Notamacropus eugenii: one gene and its partners. The protein of the gene in region 2 purifies or fractionates together with the protein of the main gene of each other region. This does not show direct contact. Links are inferred from orthologs where the notes say so. Each region holds a gene or a part of one and is shown on either strand. Other genes may lie near its edges.

Region 1 (7,923 bases), on a different chromosome or scaffold from region 2:
AAACATCAAGAACATGTGTATACGTTTATGTATGTGCATATCACTCTCAATACATGTGACCCTCCAAATAATTTTGAGCACCTGACTGTTCCAATGCTGGGAAAAAAAAACCTTCAGGGATAAAAGCATCACCTTTCCCTTTTGCTGGACTAAGTAAGGAACTAAAAGATAGGAAAAGCAGAAGAGAAAATTGTTCTTTCTCTTCCATCAAGGAGTCTCTACTAATTATCCCACAAGGACAAGGTAATCTGAAACAGCTGAATTATGAGAATTATATCTAACCAATGTTTTTATAAATTTTTTTTAAATTTCTGAACATGATGAAGCGAACTGCTATTTTTCTTCCCTAGAACTCTTTCTTGAGGGTTCTGTGGAACAAAGAGCTGCTGCTATACTCAGAGGCATACACACAGATGTAAAGTCCTTTGTTATAGCAGTTACTTGTTACCACATTTTCCATAGGTGTGCATTTGGAACAGGCAGAGACTGGAACTAAATATAACAATCTGGAGCCTTCAAAGGTTATATAAAGTGCCAATAAATAAAAAATGACAGTTACCCGCACATGTGGAACAGGATCTTTGGACTCAACATACACTTCTTTTAACAACGTGAGCAGCTTATCATCTTTTCTTTTAACTATTTCCTCTAATTCTGGATGGCCTAAAGGGAAAGGAAGAAAGGAGAGACAATTACAAACAAACAAAACCAAAACAAACCCAGGCAATGTATCTACTCAGACACTATACAGTCATCATTGAAGGGCAGCTAGGTGTTGCAGTGGATAGAGTACCAGTGCAGGAGTTAGGAGGACCTGAGTTCAAATCCCACCTCAGACACTTGACACTCACTAGCTGTGTGACCTTGGGCAAGTCACTTAACCCCAGTCGCCTCATCCTGGGTCATCTCCAGTCATCCTGATGAATATCTGGTCACTGCATTCAGATGGCTCTGGAGGAGAAGTGAGGCTGGTGACCTGAGCAGTCCTCCCTCCCTCCAAACAAAGTCAAGTGCAAGTCATGTCATTATTTCTCTGATGGCACGATCTTCTTCTGGCAACGAATGATGAACACACATACAGCCATCATTATTAACACTCTCTACCAACACCCTCTCCCACAACAAACAAACACAAAAACCCCACTGAATGAGAAAAACAAAAATTCTTAAGAAAATCTGAAACTCAAAATAGTGTTTCAGACTCGGAGTTCAGTACTTGTGTCAAATTCCATAGAAATAATGTACCAAATAATATTACATATTATCATATAATGATCATTACATATCATTAACATATAATCATTAGCATATAATGATATATGATAATATAGAACACAATGGAATATAACATAACTGGTTAACTTATGCGAAGATTTGCTTCTCACATAGTTGTATATCATCCACATTTGAATCATTTAAAGGTTCTAAATACTTATGATATAAAAATCTAAGTGTCAAAGAAACTTTCTGTCTTTGTATACTCAGCACTAAGCACAGTGCCTAGTACATGGAGCTCTTAATAATGCTTGCTGGTTGACTGAAACCTAAATAATTACAAAAGTGCTGGCCTGGAATCCGAGATCAAGTCTCTGGGTCTCAGTTTCCCCATCTGTAAAACAAAGGGCCTGCATAAGATGACCTCTGCAGTTCCTTAGACCTAGCTATTAGTCTATAAAACTGGAATTAAAAGCATCGCTGTTAAACTCCAAGCTAGAGGACTGGGAACTACATTTCCTAGCATGCACCACTCCGAATCTCTGCGATTGGACAAACGCACAGGGTCCAAAGATCAACTAATTTTTCCAGCGGAGGATTTGTAACATTAAAGGGGCGGGTAAGGGACGGAGTTTCAATGTCATTATGGCTACACCTTCCTAAGCAAGCTGGGCCGCAACTTTTATCTGGTGTTTCAAACTTCCCTCCTCTAAGATTTCTGCAGTTCACAGAAGAATCCGGCCTTTCCCCCTGCGGGAAATAAAATAAGCTCAAGGTCGCTGACCAGACCCGGGGTGGAGGTGGGGCTGGGGGGTACCTTTCTACACTTAACTTTTAGTGTCAAGGGCTTCTCTTAATCCTCCTACGGCCCGCTTCTGAGAACGCCTTTCTAAGGCACACAAAAACACGCCGGTTTACAAAGGAACAAACAGGTATCCAAACTTGAAAAAGACAAAACCAACCAAAACAAGGGCACGGTTACCGGGTCAGCGGGGGCAGTTTTAAGGGCACCGGCTCCAGGGTCGGGGTTCACATCCATCCCTCGGACGCTTTACCACCTGGGTGACCTTGGGCAGGTTACTTCAGCCTCCCCAGGCCTCGGTTTCTACCTCTCAAAAAGAAAAGGCGTGGGGGTGGGGAGCCCAGCACTCCCTAAGAGCCCTTCTGGCCCCAAATCTAGGACCTACCACGACTGCCACCCCAATCCACAGGAAGCCTTCCCCAAACCCGGGGCTTTTCCTCTTTCGATTATTCCCTATTTATCCTGCATACGGCCTCTTGGTACATATTTACTTCCACGCCGCCTCCCCCATGGGATGGTAAACTCCCTGGAGGCAGGTGGGTATTCGCAGCGTTTGGCGCGATGGGGAGCACACAGTAGGCGCTTGCTGAACACCTACTGGACTGAACAGAACTGAATCCAACGCCACCGACACTGCAGCTGTGCTCCGCGACCAGACAGGCGTCTCCCCACCCCCACCCCTGGGACGGCTGCCCTCCGGGACTACTCACGGCGGACTTCCTCCAGGATCAGGGTCCTGGTTCTGGGGTGCATGGGGGCAGCAGACGGCTTCTCCTTGCTGATCTCCCTCTCGGCCCGGTTTTCCAGGTTGAAGTTCCGGAAAGCGCGGGTCACCCTGGCCCCCATCTCGCTCTCAAACCATGATGCCCCAGCTTCGGAACCCGCCAGCACGTGGAGCGCTCCCGGCAGTCACCTTTCTAACCAGCCGGGCACTGCGGAGTACGCATGCGCGGGCCTTGAACAAGCCGGGCTACGCGACCCGGAAATGAGAAAGCGGCACTTCCGACAGCGCCCCCTGGCGCCTCGGAAGCAGCTTGCTTCCTTCCTTGCTTCCCACTGTGACATCTCCTTCCTTTCCACGCCCAGAGGTTGTGAGCATCTTAGAAATGCCCTAGAAATGATCAGAACCCAGAGAATGCTGCATACAGTTAACTGTTTTGTGTTAACAATTATGTTAATTTTTATGTTGTTGTAACATAAATAATGATTTATGTTAACTATTGTATATAGCAATATTGTTTTAAGAATACTTTGAGCGAATAAGTTATTTTGTCCATTATAAACACTCAAATTAAGTATAAAGAACATATGAAGAAAGACTGCATCCAGAGAAAGAAGTGATAAAGAGAAGTATGTGCAGAATAATTTTACATATGTGTATACCCATTTGTGTCTAATGGTAGCCATCTCTAGGGCGGGGAGGAACAAAAGGAACTTACATGATCACCTTGTTCCATATTTGAAAGCTGTGCATAGTAGATATGCAGTGTCCTGTACGATCTTTACTGTATGTTATGGAAATGGCTGTTTTATTCCATAAATTAAATTGAAAAAGAAAGAAATGACTCTTGATTGAGGTGCAGAAGAAGGTTTTATATCTTCCTTCTTTCCTTGACACAGCTATTAAAAAGTGTTAAGAAGTGTCCTTCAGTACAAGCCCCTCCAAAGCCCATAGAAAGACGGTGACTTTCTGGAGGTCAGAGGGTAGTGAATGAGTGGCAAAGCAGAGGTGTGAACCCAGGCAAGGTCCCCGACTCCTCCAAATCCAACCCTCCCCCCCAGCACACTGTAAGTTCTTCCAAAGCTGGAACCCTTGAAATCTTTTTCTTTGTAATCCCAGCTCCTATGACAGAATCTGACATAGTATTTAATAAAGGCTTGTTGACTGACTGATTGACACATAGTTTTCTATTCTAATAGACATTTTTGAGATTGATTTGGGAATTTGTTTTGCTTGACAATACATAACTATATACATATATTATGCATATTCAGTATCTATATATACATATACAGCATATGTAGCATACATATACATAATATATAATCTATAGTCTTTATGCATATATACCTAGTATATATATAATATACATGTTATCCAGTATACATATGCAAGGATTATACATATGCAAATATAAGCAGTAGTCATGTGTACATACATGTATCCATATGTGTGTATATATATCAGGACATGGGTTTATACATCGGGTAACTATGTATACACATGTATATACTTTATACATTTATATGGTCAAGCGAAACACATTCCCAAACTGACCTCTTAAAAAACTGACACACATATAAATTTTTACCAAAGCTTTTTCTTTTTCTTTTCAGGTGAGAGCAAGAAATGGAATGCTGGACCTGGAGTCAAGTAGATTTATCTTTGTGAGTCCAAATCCAGCCTCAGACACTAGGTATCTGACCTTGGGCAAGTCACTTAATTCCTGTTTCCCTTGGTTTCCTCATCTGTAAAATGGGCATAATAACAGCACCTGGTGGGGAGTTATTGTAAAGATCAAATAAGGTAATTGTTGTAAGGCACTTAGCACAGTGCCTGGCACATAGTAAATGCTATACAAATGTTATCATCATTTCCCATAGGGGTTGAGAAAATTAACTTTTTATTAAAGAATAAAATTTTAAAAATTGCTTTCTATTTGATGCCCTACTTCTTCACTCTTTTATTTCTCTAGTTCACTCCTTTCCTAGTTCCCTTTCCAGACATAGATCTGGATGACTATCATTCTGAACCCTTTCTTCGCTTAATTTCTTAGTCTTAATTCTATTTCCTTCCTAGGTTCTTTTCCAGGCCTTCAGGTTTTATTTTTTTCTACTTTGTTTTTGCTCATTTGCAGTGCCAGGTTCAGAGATTTAAACCCCAAACTCTTTAATTGTTTTTATACTTTCCTCTCTCTCTCTCTCTCTCTCTCTCTCTCTCTGTCTTCCTGTCTTTCTGTATCTCTGTCTCTGTCTTCTCTCAGCATTTCCTGTTCTCTTACTGAAAATGAAGTAAGGAAAAAAAGGAAAGGAATAGGTACTTATAAAAAGTTATGTGACAGGCACTGTGCTAAGTGCTTTTTACAAATCTAATTTGATAAGGATGATTTGATTATCTCATTTGATAAGGATGTAGATATAGATTGGGGAAATGTTTACTAATTTATGTTACTTTGCTATCACTTGGTTTTGTCTCTCTAATATACATATTATGTAATACTATGTGTCATGACTCATTAGTGTCTCATTCCCCACTAGACTAAGTTCCTTGAAGGCAGAAGCCTCTTTATTTTTTAAAACTTTTCTAACCTAACACAGTGATGATATTCACACAGTAGGCACTTAATGCTTTTTTGATGAATTACTTCATGTCTCATTACAATACTTCTATTTGAATAAAAGAACTGCTAAGAGATTTGTAAGCTTACGAAGTAGAAAAAAAATCAATGTGAGAAAAACAGGGACATGTTAAGAAACAAGCAATATTTTTAAAAGTTGCAGATGACTTTTCCACTGGAATAATCAGCTATGTCTAGAGGAAAATGGTGGTGTTTATTTTTGTTTTGTATTTTTTCCTGCCTAATAGCTTTAATTTGCTTTCCCTCACCCCTTTGGGACTCTGGATTAAAAATGTTTAGTTGTATTGTTAAATAATTGTGAATTCCTAATAACAACAAAAGTGCTACCAAAATATGAATTTCCATAATCCATTATGTTGCCATTTTTCCACATTAGTATTCATTAACTATGGGGTCCAGAATCATTCTGTTTGGGTTATTTGGGAAAATATCCTGAAGGTGGCAGACTGGTCCAAGGTTTCTTCTATCATTCTGACTTCCAATCAAGACTTGTGAATAAAACACAAATCTTAGTTGACCTAAGTCCCCTTTGAGTGTGTGGCCTCATCAAATAGTATGCATTTAATAAATGCATTTCCCCTATCATGACCTTCTCTGTTTAGGACACTAGTAGCAATTCTTCTCCAGTGGTTTCTGTTTTGTTTTATTTTGATTCTGTCACAGTTGGAAGTGGGGGTGGGGGGAGGATAGGGGTAGAAGTATAGAAATTGAGTTGAAAGGCAATATCTGCAGGAATCTCAGGAGGCTTCCAATGAATCATCACAGAAATATTTTATACTTTCCTCTCATTTTTTGCATATAGGTAGAATATAAAAGTTAAAACTAAAAGTAGAGGTACTCCAACAGGAACATCTAACTAGCTGACCCCATCCTCAGACAAAGAGATGAGCCATTAAAACACATTTCTATGACTTCCTGCCAAAATTCATAAATTGTTGGCATTAGTTCCCACTAACAATAATTGTTTTTAATAACTGGTGCGGTTTTATTTTTTGTTTTTTGCATCCCTTGCGCTCAAGATAGTCTTTGTCTAGTTAAGTGCTTGATAAATGGTTACCTGAGATCATATGATCTCAGAGATGTAGTCATTTCTACCTGTAAACATCATAGCCCATCTTTACCTTTACCTTCGTGATTCTTAGCCATGTCCTCCCTTAAATCCTCCAAAGAGGATCTACACAATTACATTGATTCTTTCAATGCTTCTTGGATCCTAGGGCAGTACTAAAGCTGTCCAAATATTTCTCATTATGGCTTATTCCTTTTTTCTTTTCCTGTGTGGTTTCACTGATGTCTTTCATACAAGTCATCCTTTGTCACTTCCTAACAAATATATATGTATATATATTATATTTCTGATATTACTGATGAGTTTTGAGGAACTCATCAGATGGAAACTTATCAATTTTCTATGTTCTTGACACAATGTTGGATATGCCAGCCCCAAACAAGTGAGAAATAGGCCCTTGGGAAAAGGACACCCTATTGAGGTGGGCTTTCAGTCACTTTAAATTAGATGTAATCAACAACTCCTATGCAACCCAGGGTAAAAGTTGTGATCCAAAGAGGAGAAGAGGAGAGGAAGTGAGTTGGGGTGATGAAAAGTGTTGTTATTTGTTGAGAAGAAGCACATGTACATAATCCCAAATAATCCTTTGTGTATATAGAGGAGGTTGAATCCCAAACTGGCAGGTTAGCCTCAAGAAGAGGAAACTTTCTCATCTGGCACCACATTATAAGTAAAGCTATTACCAATGGTCAGATCAGGACACCCAGTATCCTCAAGTAAACGTCCAGTTTGAGCTGTGGGTAGCTTTGTATGGTCAGGAAGTTGTTACCAGATAAAGAGACTGATAGAAGCGGGCATTGTGGTTTTTGTTTCTGAATCCTCAGCACTTATCACAGTTATTCTATACTGTTTTATTAAATGCTTATTGTTTGACTGGGTTAAGCGATTACAACAGAGTTCAAGGGGCTACGTTGAACCGATTATACTAGCTAACTGCCCTCCCCAATGTCTATCATAATGTGGACCCCATAGGCAAGAATTCTTAACTTTTTCTGTGCCATCAGTATCTTTGGCAGTCTAGTGAAGTCCGTGGACCCTCTCTCAGAAATATATTTTTAAATGCATAAAACAAAGCACATAGGATTACAGAGGAAACCAAAGATTAGTGAAATTAAGACTGATTTTTTTTCCTCTTCAGGTTATGGACTTCCCTGAAATTCATGGACCCCTGGTTAAGAGCTCCTACCCCAGGGTTGCCCATACCCAGTGGAGGGTTTTTGTGTTGCCAGAGCAGCCACTCTCCCTGTTAAAATTGAACTTTCCCTAGGCGCTGTAAATGCCATTAGGGAATGTTCACTCTAGAACATCATTAAACTTTGGACTTCTATGATTTTTATCTCTTGTGGAATATTGACAGATGTTGGTTTTATTGCCTCTTGCTATACACTGTGAGCAGTGTGTTTGTAAGTCAGGGAGTTGGTGTCTGCTGATGGGACTGTCCAGAGGAGAGAGGCTTCAGTATGAGATTGTTAAACATC
Region 2 (7,286 bases):
CCTTTCTGCCTAAGCACACTAGAACTCAACTATTCCTATGTAGGCCCAATCCCACCCCCCAACTTCAGCACCATCCCTGAACCCCCACTCTCATCCCATGTGGCCAATCATCTGCCAAACCTTGTCATTTCTTTCTCCATAAGAACTCTCTGAGTTCGTCTCTCTCTCTCTCTCTCTCTCTCTCTCCTCATATAGCTACCATGATGGTTCAAGTCTTCCATCATCTCTCACTTATTACTGCAATAACAACCTCCTAAGTGGTCTCCTTCCCAAGTCTCTCTGCATTCCAATCCCTCCTCCACACAGCTGCCAAAATGATTTTCCTCAAGTTCAGATATGACCAGGACAGACAACTGTCCTAACACAACACACACACATACACACACACACACACACACACACACACACACACACACACACACACTCTCTCTCACACAAAATCAATCTCTCTTTCTCTCTCCACTCTGTCTCTTTCTCCCTTTCTCCCTCTCCCTCTTCTTCCCATCCCCCCAGTGGCTCTCTATTACCTCTAGGATTGAACATAAACTTTTCCATCAAACATTTAAAACTTTTCAGTCAGAATCTACCTTACACTTCTTAAACATTAAACACACTTGATGGTCCAGTCAAATTGGCCTAAAGATCACAACACCAGATTTGGCAATTAGACCACTTCAGAGAGATGTTTGGAGTCAAGAAGGACAGGAGCAGCAGAGGAAATAGAGGTATCTGGTTTAGATGGCCTAAGAACTTTAACTGAGAAGAGGAAGAGAAATACAGGATCATAGCTAACTGGTGTGGTAGAGTCTAGTGGAGGATTTCTAAAGATGGAGGAGACCTAAGAAAAAGGGTGAAGACCAAACAGAGGAGGCTGACAAATGAGAAGGCAATTAGCTGGAGGGCAAAGATGGGAACAAGGGCACAGGTAGAGGTTAAGACTTGGGGAAAGGAGCCATCTCATTATCAGAGATTAGAGAAAAGGAAAAGAGAATAGGGGATGATGTGAAGGGGCTTTAAGAAGAGAAGGGAAGGAGGAAACTCAAGTAAATGGCCTCAATTTTCTAAGTAAAGAAGTAAAGTTGTCATCTTAGAGAGGAGGAGAGGAAGGTCTGGGAGGCCTGAGCTATCTGCTATAGCTCCAATGAGGATGGTGAGAGGAAATCAATTAGTAAGAAATAAAAAGGATTGCCTTACTACAGTGAGGACTCAGCTGAGGTTAGGTAACACATATGTAGTCCCCCCATTCAGTGCACTTGCATGATTCCTCTAGCTTCAACCAGCAGCATGTAAGAGAAATGGAGGTAAATGATGAGAGGAATACAGGTCAGGAGGTTGGTATGGAATAAGCAATGAAAAGACAAGGGGCCCAAAGATTGAGGTGAGGAGGGCATGAACGAGAATGGTGGCTACGACTGGAAATAAGAGGAACAGGGCTGCTAGGTGGTGCCAGAGTACACAAAGCACTGATGAGGAATCAGGAAGACTCACACACTTACTAGCTGTGTGACTCTGGGCAAGCCACTGTTCATCTCAGTTCCTCATCTGTAAAATGAGCCAGAGAAGGAGATGGCAAACCATCCCCAGTCTCTTTGCCAAGAAAATGCCAAATGGGGTCACAAAGAGCCGGACGTGACTGAAACAACCCAACAACAAAGCAAAAGAACACTCAGAGAAATATGGGAGAGAATAAAGACTCGGCAAATAATGGGGCAAGGAAAAATCAAATGAGGACTCCAAGGTGGAAACCATGGGTAACTAGGGAAGGAATGAATTTTGTTTCAGACATGCTGATTGGGAGAATCTTACAGGTCTTCCAGCTTGAACCGTCTAATAAAGCTGGTAATAGAAAGCAGGTCTAGGTAGATATCTGGGAGTCCTCTGCATGCAAAGTCAAATTTACCTCCTTAGGTTAGGATCTCCATTTCCCAGTGCTTGGGTCAGATGTCTATCTAATGTTTTTTCTAATGAATTACTGTTCTTTTCTGCCATTATGAACAACCATAGCTATTATACAGCGCTTTAAGGTTTTCAAACCACTTTCCACATAGTCTCATTTTATTCTCACAGCCACAGATGAGGAAATTAGAACGAGAGGTTAAGGTGCTTGCTTAGGGTTCACACAGCCAGGTGTCTGAAGTAAGATCTGCACTCAGATTCACTTTCTGATTGCAAGTCCCCTGCCTGCAGGCACCCCCCTCCCATGTCTGGTACTCATCTTCCTATACTGCACTACTACTAGCTATATTTCCAATAGTAGTAGCTAGTTAGCTAGGCAGATACACGTGCAGTTATCTCCAAACGACTGGTAGATACAGTGAAAGGAGAAATCCACTGCAGGATTGCAGAGATCAGGTAATCCCTTACAGTGACAGTCTTACACGAGTGGCAGTGCCCTACAACGTATAAAAAATAAAATGGAGAGACAGGAGAAGAGTATATATAGCGTACTCTCTCAGCCTCACCAGGTGTTTAAGCAAATGACCTCTGCAGGTTTAAAGTCTGGGCTCGGACCCCAGAACGGTCGCTGATCTCTTTCTCATTTCTGCTGGCAAGACTCTAGGCAAGAGAAGACGCTGACCAGCTGTCCCCGTCTGAGAAGCTCCGTCTCTAGCCCCAAGCCCATCACCCCGCGCTGGGAAACCTGGGACTCCTCGGCCTCTGGGTTCTAGGGGCGCTCCTGACTCTGACACCGTGTTCTAAGCTCTCTGGGGCTTCTGAAGAATGGGGAGGAACGAGGGGCTCCGGTCCGGGCAACCTCGGGGCGCCGGGGGTGCCCTGCCCCCTCCCCACGCTTGGGGCCCTCCAGCTAAGCCGCTAAGGGTAAGAGCGGGGCCCCGCCTCCTCCACGAACCACTGACCCGAGATTCCCCGACGGGGCAGGTTCCGCTTGTAATCGATGGGACCGTAGCCCCCTGGCGGGGGCATGTCCTGCTTCACCTTGGACGCCGCCATCTTGCCAGCCCAAGGCACTTCCGACGGCGAGGACCCGCGCCGGACGGAAGAAGCCGGAAATGACGTCAAGGGGCGCGAGCCCGCTCCGCCATCTAGAGAGTGGCGGAAGCTACTGCAGAGAAGGTCTTAAAGGGGCGGGCGCTCCACGTCGGAGAGGGGAGGGTGGAGCCAAGGAACGCCCCCTCCGGCACCCACTGGCGCACCCGCCCAGTAATGGTAGTACCGTCTGACGTTGAAGCAGCTTTTTAAAGTTTGCAAAGCACTTCTGGAGGCAGCTCCGTTAACGGCGTTAGGGTTTTAAGGGGTGCCCCTAGGAGTTAGCGCAGCAGGGATCCAGTCCCAAACCGGCCCCACCGCTGACCTTGACCCCCCCCCGGCCAGTTTGAGCTCCCCATAGTTTACTCCTTAATAAAACAAGGGGCTGGGCTAGCCAGCTCTGAAGGCCCAGCACCTCCTGGCCCATGGCCGCCAAGGGGGGGTGCCGCCTCAGCGTTACCCTGCCTGGGGATGCCGGTCCCCAACATCCCTCGGAGGACCCAGCCTCACGTCCAACCAGGCTACGGGTCTGGGCGTCTTGCCATCCCTTACCACGGCAGCATCTCCATCTCCATCACGTCACAAAACGGGCCCCGGCGTGCAGAGCCAGGACACATGCGGCAGCCTCCCTGCGGCCCGTGACGCCCTCAGTCACTTCACAAGGCGGAAATTGTTACCTGGGCGATAAAGGGCGGCGGGGAACCCCGGGGCAGGAGTGGGCACATGGGGGTCAAGGTCTGTGGGTGCCAAGCGCCATGGGTTAAGCCCCAAATCGAAATTCGGAAAACCCTCCCGACGCTCTCGCCCCGTCCATCATGTCTGGAGACAAACTCTTGAATGAGCTGGGATACAAGCTGGGCCGCACCATCGGGGAGGGGAGCTACTCCAAGGTCAAAGTGGCCACCTCCAAGAAGTACAAGGGCACGGTGGCCATCAAGGTGGTGGACCGACGGCGAGCCCCCCCGGACTTCGTCAACAAGTTTCTGCCCCGGGAGCTGTCCATCCTGCGCGGCATCCGCCACCCGCACATCGTGCACGTCTTCGAGTTCATCGAAGTGTGCAACGGAAAACTGTACATCGTCATGGAGGCCGCCGGCACCGACCTGCTGCAGGTGGTGCAGCGCAGCGGGCACATCCCGTGCGCCCAGGCGCGCGAGCTTTTCGGCCAGATCGTGGGCGCCGTGCGCTACCTGCATGACCACCACCTGGTGCACCGCGACCTCAAATGCGAGAACGTGCTGCTGAGCCCGGACGAGCGGCGCATCAAGCTCACCGACTTCGGCTTCGGACGCCAGGCGCACGGCTACCCGGACCTCAGCACCACCTACTGCGGCTCGGCCGCCTACGCGTCTCCCGAGGTGCTCCTGGGCATTCCCTACGACCCCAAGAAGTACGACGTGTGGAGCCTGGGCGTCGTACTCTACGTCATGGTCACCGGCTGCATGCCCTTCGACGACTCGGACATCGCGGGCCTGCCCCGCCGCCAGAAGCGCGGCGTCCTCTACCCCGACGGCCTGGAGCTGGCCGAGCGCTGCAAGGCGCTCATCGCCGAGCTGCTGCAGTTCAGCCCGTCCGCGCGACCCTCCGCCGGGCAGGTGGCCCGCAACAGCTGGCTGCGCGGCGAGGCTTGCTAGCGCCCACCCTCGTGGGGCCCCCGATCTCCTCCTTCTCCTCCCTTCTCCCCGGGCTCACTGACCCTCCCCCTCGATCTCGCGCAGGGGAGAGGCACGAGGGCGCCCGGCGCCCAGGGGAGAGGAGCGGGAAGCTCTCCTGACCTCATCCCCTCCATTCCTTTCCTCCTTTCTCTCCCGCCCCCCCCCGCCCCCCCAGTCTACGGGTGTGAGACGGGAGACCGCCCCTCCCCCCCACGGCACCCGGCGGTGGGGGGGGATGGGGGGGCGGGCGAGGGGTGGGTATAGAAAAGGGGCATGACCAAGATGCTAGGGACAGAGCGAGAAAAAAAGAGGGTCCAGCCGCGCAGAAAGCCCGGAGCGAATGAAAGTGCCAACACTCCGCCGGGCAGGAGGGAGATGCCGAAGCCCGCAGAGCCCCTACTCGAAGGTGGAGCGCAGTCCGGAGACCTCGAGGCGTCCCACCGTTGGCCGAGACCTGCGCTGGCCCTCCCTCCACCCCGCTGGACCCGACAATAAACTCGCTCTCTTGCTAGCAACCCCGGATTCTGGTAGCTGGACGACTAGGAGGAGGGGGGCTAAGGGGGGAAAGGGGGTGTAGGGGGGAGGCGCAGGCAGGGCAGGGGCAGAAGCGACTTTTGCCGCCCCACACCCTTCCTTGTCTGCCTGCCTGTCGGCCCAACTCCATCCTCTCCTCTAGCCTGGGAGGAAAGGGTGTATAGGCGGGGTGGTGGAGCGAGTAATTTGAAGGATTTAGCCCTTGGACAGCCAACGTAGGCCCCTTTCGTACACTTAAAACTTTTTAGACTCCCCGCCGTCATCACTGTGCCCTCTTTACAAGTCCTGCTGGGATCGGGGAGCAGACTGGGGGTAAAAAAGGAATGGAAACTTACTAGCCGGTGGGGGGAGGGGAATGAAAGGGAAGGGTGGGGCGGAGTGACCTCAGCTGGGGTTCTGTTCCCCAGGGCCCTTCCTGCCCCTCCTCCCGGGAGACCCGGAGCTCAGGAAGCCAGCTGTGAGATGGCCAGCATCTTAAGAACTGGATGTCTAACAGCAGGGCAGGGCACTGGAAAAAAAGATGTTTGCCCTAGTTCTGGAGGCAGAGACAGCAGGGGAAGAAGCTAATAGCCCTGGTTGAACTTGGCTTAAAAGCCCTAAGCCAGGTAACCACCTTTACCTGTTTACTACCCACACTTGAGGTGAGCCACCAAGCTTAGCAAGGCCTTAGGTAGCCCATCCATATGGCAGGCTAGACCCTGCTTAAACTAGCGTTTACCAACTTGCTGGGCTGGAAGGCCAGGCTCAGGGCTTTGAGGCGGCATGAGGTTTAGGGAGATCACCCAGGGCCTGTTTCCTTAAATAAGAAATGTCAGGGTTGGACTAGATCATCTCTAAACCTCCCTCGGAGCTCTAATGCCTATGATAAGCAAAGGGTGCACGAAAAAGCCTTTGTACTGTATCTCTTTGGGTCACTTCCAGGACTGCCAACCTAGCTCAGGGTCTCCTAGATCTAGGGGAGAGCCCTAGAAATCTTCTGCACTATCTAGAAAAGAGCAGGAAAAAAGTGAGGGGTTCCCACGGAAACCAGCAATTCCCTTTTGCCCAAACACCACTAGATATTTATGGGACACCTACTGCGTCTTAACACAAGGCATTAGGAAAACAAAATGGTATGAGATCTGCTCCCTGTCCCCAGTGACTCAATCGCTAAATATGTGTGTACTTGGCAGGGTTCTAGGTGTTGGGATTACCAGAAGTGACAGCCCTTGCCCTCTGAGAGTTCAAATTTTGTGGGCATGCTTTAGTCTAAAAGCCCTCAACCTACAGAGCTTTACTTCCCATGTTTGAAACCTCCAGCCAAGCTTAGCAAAGCCTTATAGCCCATCCCTACAGAGGGCTAGACCTAGACCACAAAGGCTAGGGTTTCCCCACTAGGCAACTGATAAATAAAGGCAGAATATATGCAAAATAATGACACAATGATGAGTACAAACAGTTTGTAAGAACTAGGAAAGTCATCCCATAGGAGAGAGCAGTAAAGTTGAACCTGGAAAGTCTTCTGGAGGGGCAAGAGGCAGAGAAGTAAGGAGAAAGAACTCTCCAAGTGCAAGGATGCAGGAGATGAAATCTGTGATCCATAGATCCATCTGACACCAGATTACGAAGGATTTTTCATGCCAGAGGGAGCACTTAGGCTTCTTGACTTCTTGAGGATATGAAATTGCCAAGACTTGGCAACTGATAAGATGCAGAGAGATGAGAAAGGGTGAGTCAAGTTTGACTCCTAGCTTTCACCCCTAAAGGTTTAGAAGAATGGTGGTGATCTGAGCAAAAACAGAAGTGAGGAAGGAGGAGGAGGAGGTTTAGGGGGAAAGATGCTGGTCTTGCATGTGTTGAGTATGGGGCATACAAGGAGAGATAACTAACAGGTTGTGAGGCAAACTGGAGTTCAGGAGAGCCATGAGGGTTGGATGTGTAGACCTGGGAGTCATCTGCATAGAACTGACAGTCGAAACCTAGGAACTGATGAGAGAATGTGTATAGAGAAAAGAGCAGGCCCAGCAAGTGGAGTTTGTCTTTGAATTAGGGGGCCAGGCATAATGTGCAATAACAACGCCAGTACATATTCTGTTCCCTTCTTTGCAACCCTAGCTCTGGTAGGTAATG
Region 3 (7,659 bases), on a different chromosome or scaffold from region 2:
TAGGAAAGTCAATAAGAAGGAAGAGTACAGGATGACCCCAAGCTCAAACTTCAGAGTAGCGATATGATACAACACAAACTGAAGCAAGTAAGTTCCTGCCAGTGTGTCTCCCGATCTGCTAAGAATTATCCAAGTGCAACCCAAACCAAGTGTGGGAGTCTGGTGCAGGACAGCCCTAACCAATTCCCAGTCTGATAATTCCTCAGAAGATCCTGAAGATCTGGACTCCCTCTAAGAAGAGCCAGAGGTGGGCGGGTGGAGGGATCCTACTTTAAAGCTGAGTCAGGGGCCCACAAAACACATACTCAAATCTTCATCCACCTTTTCTAAAACCACCCTGGATACACTGGGCTTTTCTGATACTGGAATGATCTACTCTGGCCCAAATGACCAAGCTAGAAAATAAGGGCTAGTCAACTAGTAATTTGGGACTTTCTAAGAATGCTTTTAAGCTTTAAGAATGCTTTTTTCCCTTTAATTTCAGTGGTGTAAATGTGTCCCTCAGTATAAATTAGAGTCCTCTGCTCAGGATACTCTGTGTATTTCCCTCACCATAAATAAAAGCAATGTGCTACCATGGAGACTGCAGAGAAGGGGACTTCAGAGAGCCAAAGAGCTTGACTATCTCACCTACCCTTGGAATCCTGGATGTCAGTGCACAGTATCCACTTCGTTGAGTCTCCCCATCATGAGGAATTTCAGTATTGAGAATCCCATAGAAGAGTGCGCTTTGGTTATTGCTGGCCATTTTCAGGAAGGCTTTGCTTCTGCCTCCTATTGTCCTGTCCGATGTCACCAGCCACTTATTCAAATCTTCATCACTGCGAAACTGCCACATTACCCTAGTATTTTCCAGTAAAACTTGATGCAAAGGGCGACCTTCAGGTCCTATCCAACGGTCTACCACCTCCTTTGCTAAAAGTTTAAAATGGTCTTTTATCTCAGCCCTAATTGCTTTGTCAAAAATAATTTCAACCTTTTCCTTAGGTGAAATTAGGTCTAAACCAACCTCACCCTTAGTTTGTTTTTCCAATATGCCTTCAGTCTTTTCCTCAGGGGAAGATCTATCTGAAGCAGCCTCTGTTTTTTTAATACTACTGTACAGTCGGGAGGGAGAATCAGAAAATCCAGGCCCCAACAAAAAGCATCGTGCAGTATCTTGCATCCCGCATAATTTAGGAAAATGAATGCCATTTAGCAGCTTCTGAAGTAAAGCCATGGTAGAAGCAATTCAAATCATAAAATTCTCCAGAATTTACCAGGGAAAAGATTTTCAGCTACAAGTCCAGCTCTACCTGTAACAAGAGAAAAAATACAGAAGTTACCAAATTAGCAACAAACTTATCCTGTCTTTCAAATGTAACCAGACTCTGTAAAATGCAACACAGTAACCCACACCTTCCTGAGCCTAAGGTTAACTGGAAATCTTACAATCATCTTACTAAGTTCCATAAAACATAAAGAAAATTGGGGGTGAAGCCAAGATGGTTAGGTAGAAGGAAACAATGCAAGTGGGTTCCTGTTAGTCTCTCCAAACACATCTATAAAATGTACCGAACCAAATCCTGATGGAGAAGTTCAGAAAACGTCATAGCAAGTCCTTTGCCAGGCCCAGGTCTGCACAGGCAGACAGAGAGGTTGGCACGACACTAGCAGGAGGCCATATACCAGCACCAAAGGAAGTCCCAGACCCACAATGGGGCACAGAGATGGGGACAGGTGCCAGCTGGCAGTCTAGCTGCACACGGTCCAATCCCAGGGCGACGATCCAGGACAGAATATGAAGGGTATCTGTGCACAGTAGCGCTGTTTCCCAGGAGGGAGGCCCAGGGTGGTATCAAGAAAGAAATTCAGTGGAAATTGAGGGGAATGCCCATCCATTGGGGAAAGACTGAACAAGATGTGGTATATGAATGTAATGGAATACTACTATGCTATCAGAAATGATGAGCGGGAGGACTTCTGGAAAACCTGTAGGAACTGATGCTGAGCGAGGGGGGCAGAACCAGAGAACACTGCACCCAGTTACAGCCACACTGGGTGATGACCACCTTGGACAGACTCGGCTCTTCTCAGCAACACGAATTCATGTTTAATATGAATGTCTGCGTAGAACCTACATTAGACTGCATGCCCTCTTGGAGAGGGGGCAGAAAGGGAGGGGGAGAAATTCTGGAACTCAGAGGCTCGTGGAACTGAATGCTGTAAATTAAAAATAAATGGATTTTCTAAGAAGCCAGCACCAGCAGCAGTGTGGCCCGGCGTCTGGCCCTGCCTGCAGAAGAATAACCAGGGCAGAAACCAAAGGGAGGTCTACACTTCTGCCCCTGGGAACCCCCACAACCGTCCAGCTGGCTGACAGCGGGCTGCCCCGGCTCGGACCCGAGCCCAGAGCTCTGACCAGGGGAGCGCCCCGGGGGCACTGTCCCTGAGATCCTGGGATAACACAACCCTCCGCAACCCCAGCAAGCAGGAACACTACCAGCTCTGACCTCCCCTGCCCCATCAAGTCGGAAATAGGGGATCTGAAACTCCATTAATAAAAGTCCTGGGTTCGAATTCTGCCCCCGTCATTCCCTAGTTACCACCTCTGTGACCTTGAACACGCAACCCCAGGGGCCTCGGCGTGCTCACCCGTAAAACGAGGACGTAGGGCTGGAAGACTTCTGCGTCCCTTCCAGCCACAAATCTAGGATCCTCCGAAGAATGAAGGCCACTTCCGGGCAGTGGAGACCGGCAGGCCGCAGCTTAGCTACTCGTAAGGGACCGGGAGCCCTGACATCCCCTTCCCCCGCCCAGTCTGGGGTGCGGGGCTGACCCCTAACTCTCGCGAATCAGCCTCCTTCCGAGGCCGGAAGTCCGTGGTCCGACACCTATCGCGTTCCCCCTAAGACACCTCACATGACTCTCCTTCGCTTTGCGGGCGCAGCTCACCTTCCCTCTCGATCCTCTCCCGGCTTCAAAGAGTGACTTCCGCCCGCGCCTGCGTCCTACGCAGATTAGCGTCCGCCGCCGCACGCACTCCCAAGCATAAAGAGTTCCGCCTATTGGAGATGGATGACGCCCAATCACGTCAGAGCTGGGGGTTTTTTTTAATGCCCTGCTAGAAAGATTACGTAGGACGTCCCTCTAGACTTTAGAACCGCTAGGTGGCGCAGGAGATACAGCGTTGGACACGAAGCCAGACTGACCTGAGTTCAAGTTCAGAAGGAGACCCCCTGCTGGCAGAGCCAGTCAGGGCAAACCTGTATCTGCCTCAGTGTTCTCATCTGTAAAATGGGGATGACAGGAGCACCAGCCTTCGGGAGCATATTGAGACGATCCAATGAGGTAATCGTTGTAAAGACTTTGGCAAACGTTCAAGTGCTAATTATCGTTAAAGACAGTATTCCCATGACCGTTAAAGCCTAGACCACCCCTGTGGTCCTCCACGTGCTTCAGGTTTTCTTTGGCTTTCCTTTTCCAAACTGGATTCTCTCAATTTCAATCTTTTAACAAATTTTGTTTGTTTTATTTTATTCAATTTTATCTTTTTGAGTCAAAAAATCCAATTGGTGGGCTCTCCCCCACCAATTCCATTTCCATTTTAAAAAATATTTTATTGTCTAATCAGGCAAAACCCTCCTCATCCTCCCATTTTTTTGCCTTTTAGCATTATATTAAGTTTTACAGTTTTGGGGCAATAAGCCCCAATTCTTTGCTTCCTGGAATATTATATTTCAAGTTCTTTTCTCTCCTTTTAGTTGCGGCTGCTAGTGTGTGATTCTGACTGTAGCTCCCTGGTATTTGACTTCTTTCTATTCTGGCTGCTTACAGTATTTTTTTTTCCTTTGATTTGGAAACTCTGGATTCTGACTATGAGATCCCTGGAAGTTGTCATTGGGAGGTTTCAAGAGGTGACTGCTGGATTCTTAAGAGATCTGGACAGTTTTCTTTTCTTGACATAAGACATCTAGGCTTGTTTTTTTCTGGTCATTGTGTTCAGATTCTTAATTTTTTTCTCCTCAATCCGATTTCCAGGTCAGTTGTTTTTGCTATTTTTTTCAGTATTTTTATATTTTTTAAATATATTTTTTGTTACCTCATGAAGTTATTAGCTCCTATTTGGTCTATTTTAATTTTCAAGGAGTTTGTTGATTGGGTAAAGTTTGGAAACTGTTGTACCATGCTGTTCATTCTCTTTCCAATTCTTTCTTACATGGCTGTCATTTCTTTTCCAATTTTTTCCTCAAGCACTTTTTTTTAGCCTTTAAAAGAATGTTTTTGTTATGTTAACTGTGATACAAATTTACTCTTTTCTTAAAGGAGGATGCTATTTTTTCTTTTTGATTGATTTTTCTAATCCAATTATGTTTTATTTGTAGGTCCACATTCTCTCCTTTCCAGCTAACCTCCATCCACATTCAGAAAGCAAGAAAAGTGAGATGTTACAAGCAGTAGAATCAAAAAAAGCAAATTCCTGCATTGACCATGTCCAAAAAAAGTCTCATTCTATACTCAGAGTCCATCCCCTGGTCTGTCAGGAAGTAGGTAGGAAGCTAATTTTTTAAAGAGTTTATATGCATATTATTTATTTGTTTATTTTCCAGGTGTCACTAATTTTTAAAATTTGTTTACAGCTTTCTACAATCATTTCTATAAGTCTTAGATTTTCTCCCCCTCCTTCCCCACAATGGCGTGCAATCTTATATGGGTTCTACACATACATTCTTATTAAACATATTTTCACTTTAGTCATGTTGCATAAAAAAATTAAAATGAATGGGAGAAACCATGAGAAAAACTCAAACAAAACAAAACATAACACAAGAGAGAAGAGTCTGCTTCATTCTGCGATCCAATTCCATAGTTCTTTCTCTGGATGTGGAAGGCAAGTGCTTTGATTTCATCTATAAAAACATTTTTTAATTCTTTCTTCATCTCTTCCAGGAATTCTAGTTGATTTTTTGTCCAGTCTATGTTTTTCTCTGAAACTTTACTTGTATATGTTTTTAATTCATTCTCTTTTTCTGCATTTGTGCCTTGCACTTCTCTGCCCTCATAATAGTTCATTATGATGTGGTTCTGTTTTTTGTTTGTCCATTCTTACATCCTACTTCCTGGAGGGAAGGTCCAAGCTGTTCTTATTCCTGCTTTCTTAGGTTATTGAGGGTTGTCATATTCTAGGATCTCAGGGACAGGCTGGAGAGCTGAAAGCTTTCAGTGCTCCTGTGGTGTTCCCATCCAGGGCAGAGTCTGATTGCTGCTGCTCTGATCTGAGCTCTGCAAGTTCCTGACTTGGGTTTGGGTCCAAGCAAGAGCAGCCTGCTGCTGGATTCAGCCCTTATCAGTCAGCTGGACAATTGTGGTGGTTCACAGTGGCAGAATTGTAGGTTTCTCTTTTGATCTGGGATTTCTGCCCTGGTTATTCTTCTGCAGGCGGGGCTAGATGCTGGAATTGGGTCTCTACCCTGTTCCTGGAGGCTAAACCAGGGGAGGGGAACCTGTAGCCTTGAGGCCACATGTGGCCCTTTAGATCCTTAAGTGCAGCCCTTTGACTCCAAACTTCACAGAACACAGCACAAATCTCTTTTGTTTTATAGGACAAATGTGGCCTCAAGGCTGCAGGTTTCCCATCCCTGGTTTAAGCTGTACCTCGGTTGCTGCTGCTTACTTCTGAACTGAATAAACTTTCTTCTTTCTTGGCCCACTACTCAAACACCGCTTCCATATTCAGGCTAGATTTACGACTGTGAAAGCAAGTTCCCCAACATACACAGGACAGCCTGCTATCACAGGTTCTTAGATCTACATTTCTAAAAGAAAAGCAATTTTCAGGGGTTAACAATCATTTTAACCAAGCACATATTTATCATTCATTTAGTTCAGGGGAAAAAGTCAGCACTCTAAATTTCAGAGAAAATACAGAGAAATACAGATCAACAGACAGTGCTTCCAGCTGCCCTGGCATAAGCAATACATACTTCAGAGATCAATAGACTGTCTGACCATACAAAATAGTTACCAGAGAGAGAAGCACCAACATCTGGATTTTCAAAGTGGGGGAGCTCCTTAGCAGCTGCCCAGAGTCTCCTCTGGCCAAACAAAACACTTCCAATCAGTAAGCCCCAAGGTAAAACCTCACCTCAGAGTACTTATACCTTTCTCAGAGGCAGAGGGTATCACAACCCTTGAGAACCAGTGCCTCATTACAAAAGGTGTGGGCCTTCCTACAAATCTTCCCAGGTCCATTAATGGGTGGGGAAAATCTTCTTTAATCAATCAGAGGTACTTGATTATACTAAAGAAAAAACAGCAAAAGATCCTACTTTATTTGCCATTACAATAACTCAACTAGTAGTGGGCTACAAATCTGCTAGTGGGTAAGTTTCCCCATCACAGTGCCTCAGTATGAGTCTGACATCTCCCCTTCCCCAGTACATAGCTTTCTCTTGCATATTGGAGTGCTCTGTACTAGTATGTTCCTGTCCTACTTAAGCTCAGCACATCAGTGTTTGTAAACCTCTTTCTGTCTCTCTATGCAAAGCTGGGCTGGACAGATGACTCACTGAAACTTTTTCAGGATTTTCCCATCAGGATTTTGTCTGATCCATTTTGATATATATATGTAGAGAAGAGCTCAGCTTCATCAGTTCCTACCACTTGTCATCATGGCTTCATCCTTCAATTTAATGGATTCCTCCATTTCGATTTAACAAATATGTACTAAATGCCTATGTTTAGCAAAACAAACATTTTAGGTGACTGTATCTCCTCCTGTCATTATAATTTTTGCCTTAACTACCACTTGCCCTCAGACCTGGGTGGGTATAATCCAGGACCCTTTTGCCCAAAATCCCCGCCAATAGCAACACTCCCCAAACCACTCTCTCTTCTTCCAATCCAGACGTAGTCCAGGAAGCAACCCTTGTGGAGATGACACCCATCAATAGTCCTTGAAAATTCAGTGACATCTCTACCCCCACTTCCTCAAAAACCTGAACTACTCCTAAGATTTTTATCATTATTAGGGAGGTTAAAAGGAATTTACATAGACAGAGCATATGGGCGTAAGCTGGGAAGATCATGGGAATGAGCTTACAAAAACTGAAGGGGTGGGTGAAAAAGAGGGATGCAGTAGGAGAAGAGTGAATGGAGAGGTAGAATGGAGAAAATTTTCTCACAAAAAGAGAAGCTCAAGGAAGAGCTTTTACAAGGGAAGGGAAAATGAGAGGGAGGTAGGCAATGCTTGAACCTCTCATCAGAACTGGTTAAAAGAGGGAAGAACATATACATATACATATACATACACACACATGCACACACACACACACACACATACATATATACATTTGTATACATATACATCTATACATACATATATATATCCACTCAGTAGTATATAAAAATGTAACTTACCCAATAGGGAATGGAAGGAGAAAGTGATAAGAGAGGAGTGGGGGAAGGGGAGAGATGATAAAAGGAAGGACAGATTAAGGGAGACAGTGGTTAGAAGCAAAATTGACTTTTGAGGAGGGAAAGAGAAAAAGAGAAGGAAGCAGAAGAAAATGGAATGAAAGGAAATACACAGTTAATAGTCTTAACTATGGATGTAAATGGGATGAGTTCACCCAAAAAATGGAAGCAGATAGCAGAATGGATTAGAAAACAGAATCCAAC

Evidence for each region.
Region 1: the proteins of NDUFA13 (region 2) and NDUFAF4 purify together in Homo sapiens (co-immunoprecipitation; 4 studies listed by BioGRID and IntAct, counting the BioPlex papers as one, with this or other methods). This does not show direct contact. The link is inferred for Notamacropus eugenii from reciprocal best matches to the Homo sapiens genes NDUFA13 and NDUFAF4.
Region 3: the proteins of NDUFA13 (region 2) and NDUFAF1 purify together in Homo sapiens (co-immunoprecipitation; 3 studies listed by BioGRID and IntAct, counting the BioPlex papers as one, with this or other methods). This does not show direct contact. The link is inferred for Notamacropus eugenii from reciprocal best matches to the Homo sapiens genes NDUFA13 and NDUFAF1.

Annotation. Positions count from the first base shown.
Region 1 is NC_092873.1:173,177,656-173,185,578, forward strand, and holds the start of NDUFAF4 (NADH dehydrogenase [ubiquinone] 1 alpha subcomplex assembly factor 4), read right to left. Parts: upstream 3,005-7,923; 5' UTR 2,864-3,004; coding exon 2,728-2,863; intron 664-2,727; coding exon 560-663; intron 1-559. UniProt on the Homo sapiens protein: Involved in the assembly of mitochondrial NADH:ubiquinone oxidoreductase complex (complex I). May be involved in cell proliferation and survival of hormone-dependent tumor cells. May be a regulator of breast tumor cell invasion.
Region 2 is NC_092875.1:55,807,960-55,815,245, reverse strand, and holds the start of NDUFA13 (NADH dehydrogenase [ubiquinone] 1 alpha subcomplex subunit 13), read right to left. Parts: upstream 3,071-7,286; 5' UTR 2,953-3,070; coding exon 2,859-2,952; intron 1-2,858. Other genes in the region: TSSK6 (testis-specific serine/threonine-protein kinase 6), read left to right, coding at 3,804-4,622. UniProt on the Homo sapiens protein: Accessory subunit of the mitochondrial membrane respiratory chain NADH dehydrogenase (Complex I), that is believed not to be involved in catalysis. Complex I functions in the transfer of electrons from NADH to the respiratory chain.
Region 3 is NC_092878.1:27,496,359-27,504,017, forward strand, and holds the start of NDUFAF1 (complex I intermediate-associated protein 30, mitochondrial), read right to left. Parts: upstream 3,005-7,659; 5' UTR 2,635-3,004; intron 1,296-2,634; 5' UTR 1,220-1,295; coding exon 635-1,219; intron 1-634. UniProt on the Homo sapiens protein: As part of the MCIA complex, involved in the assembly of the mitochondrial complex I.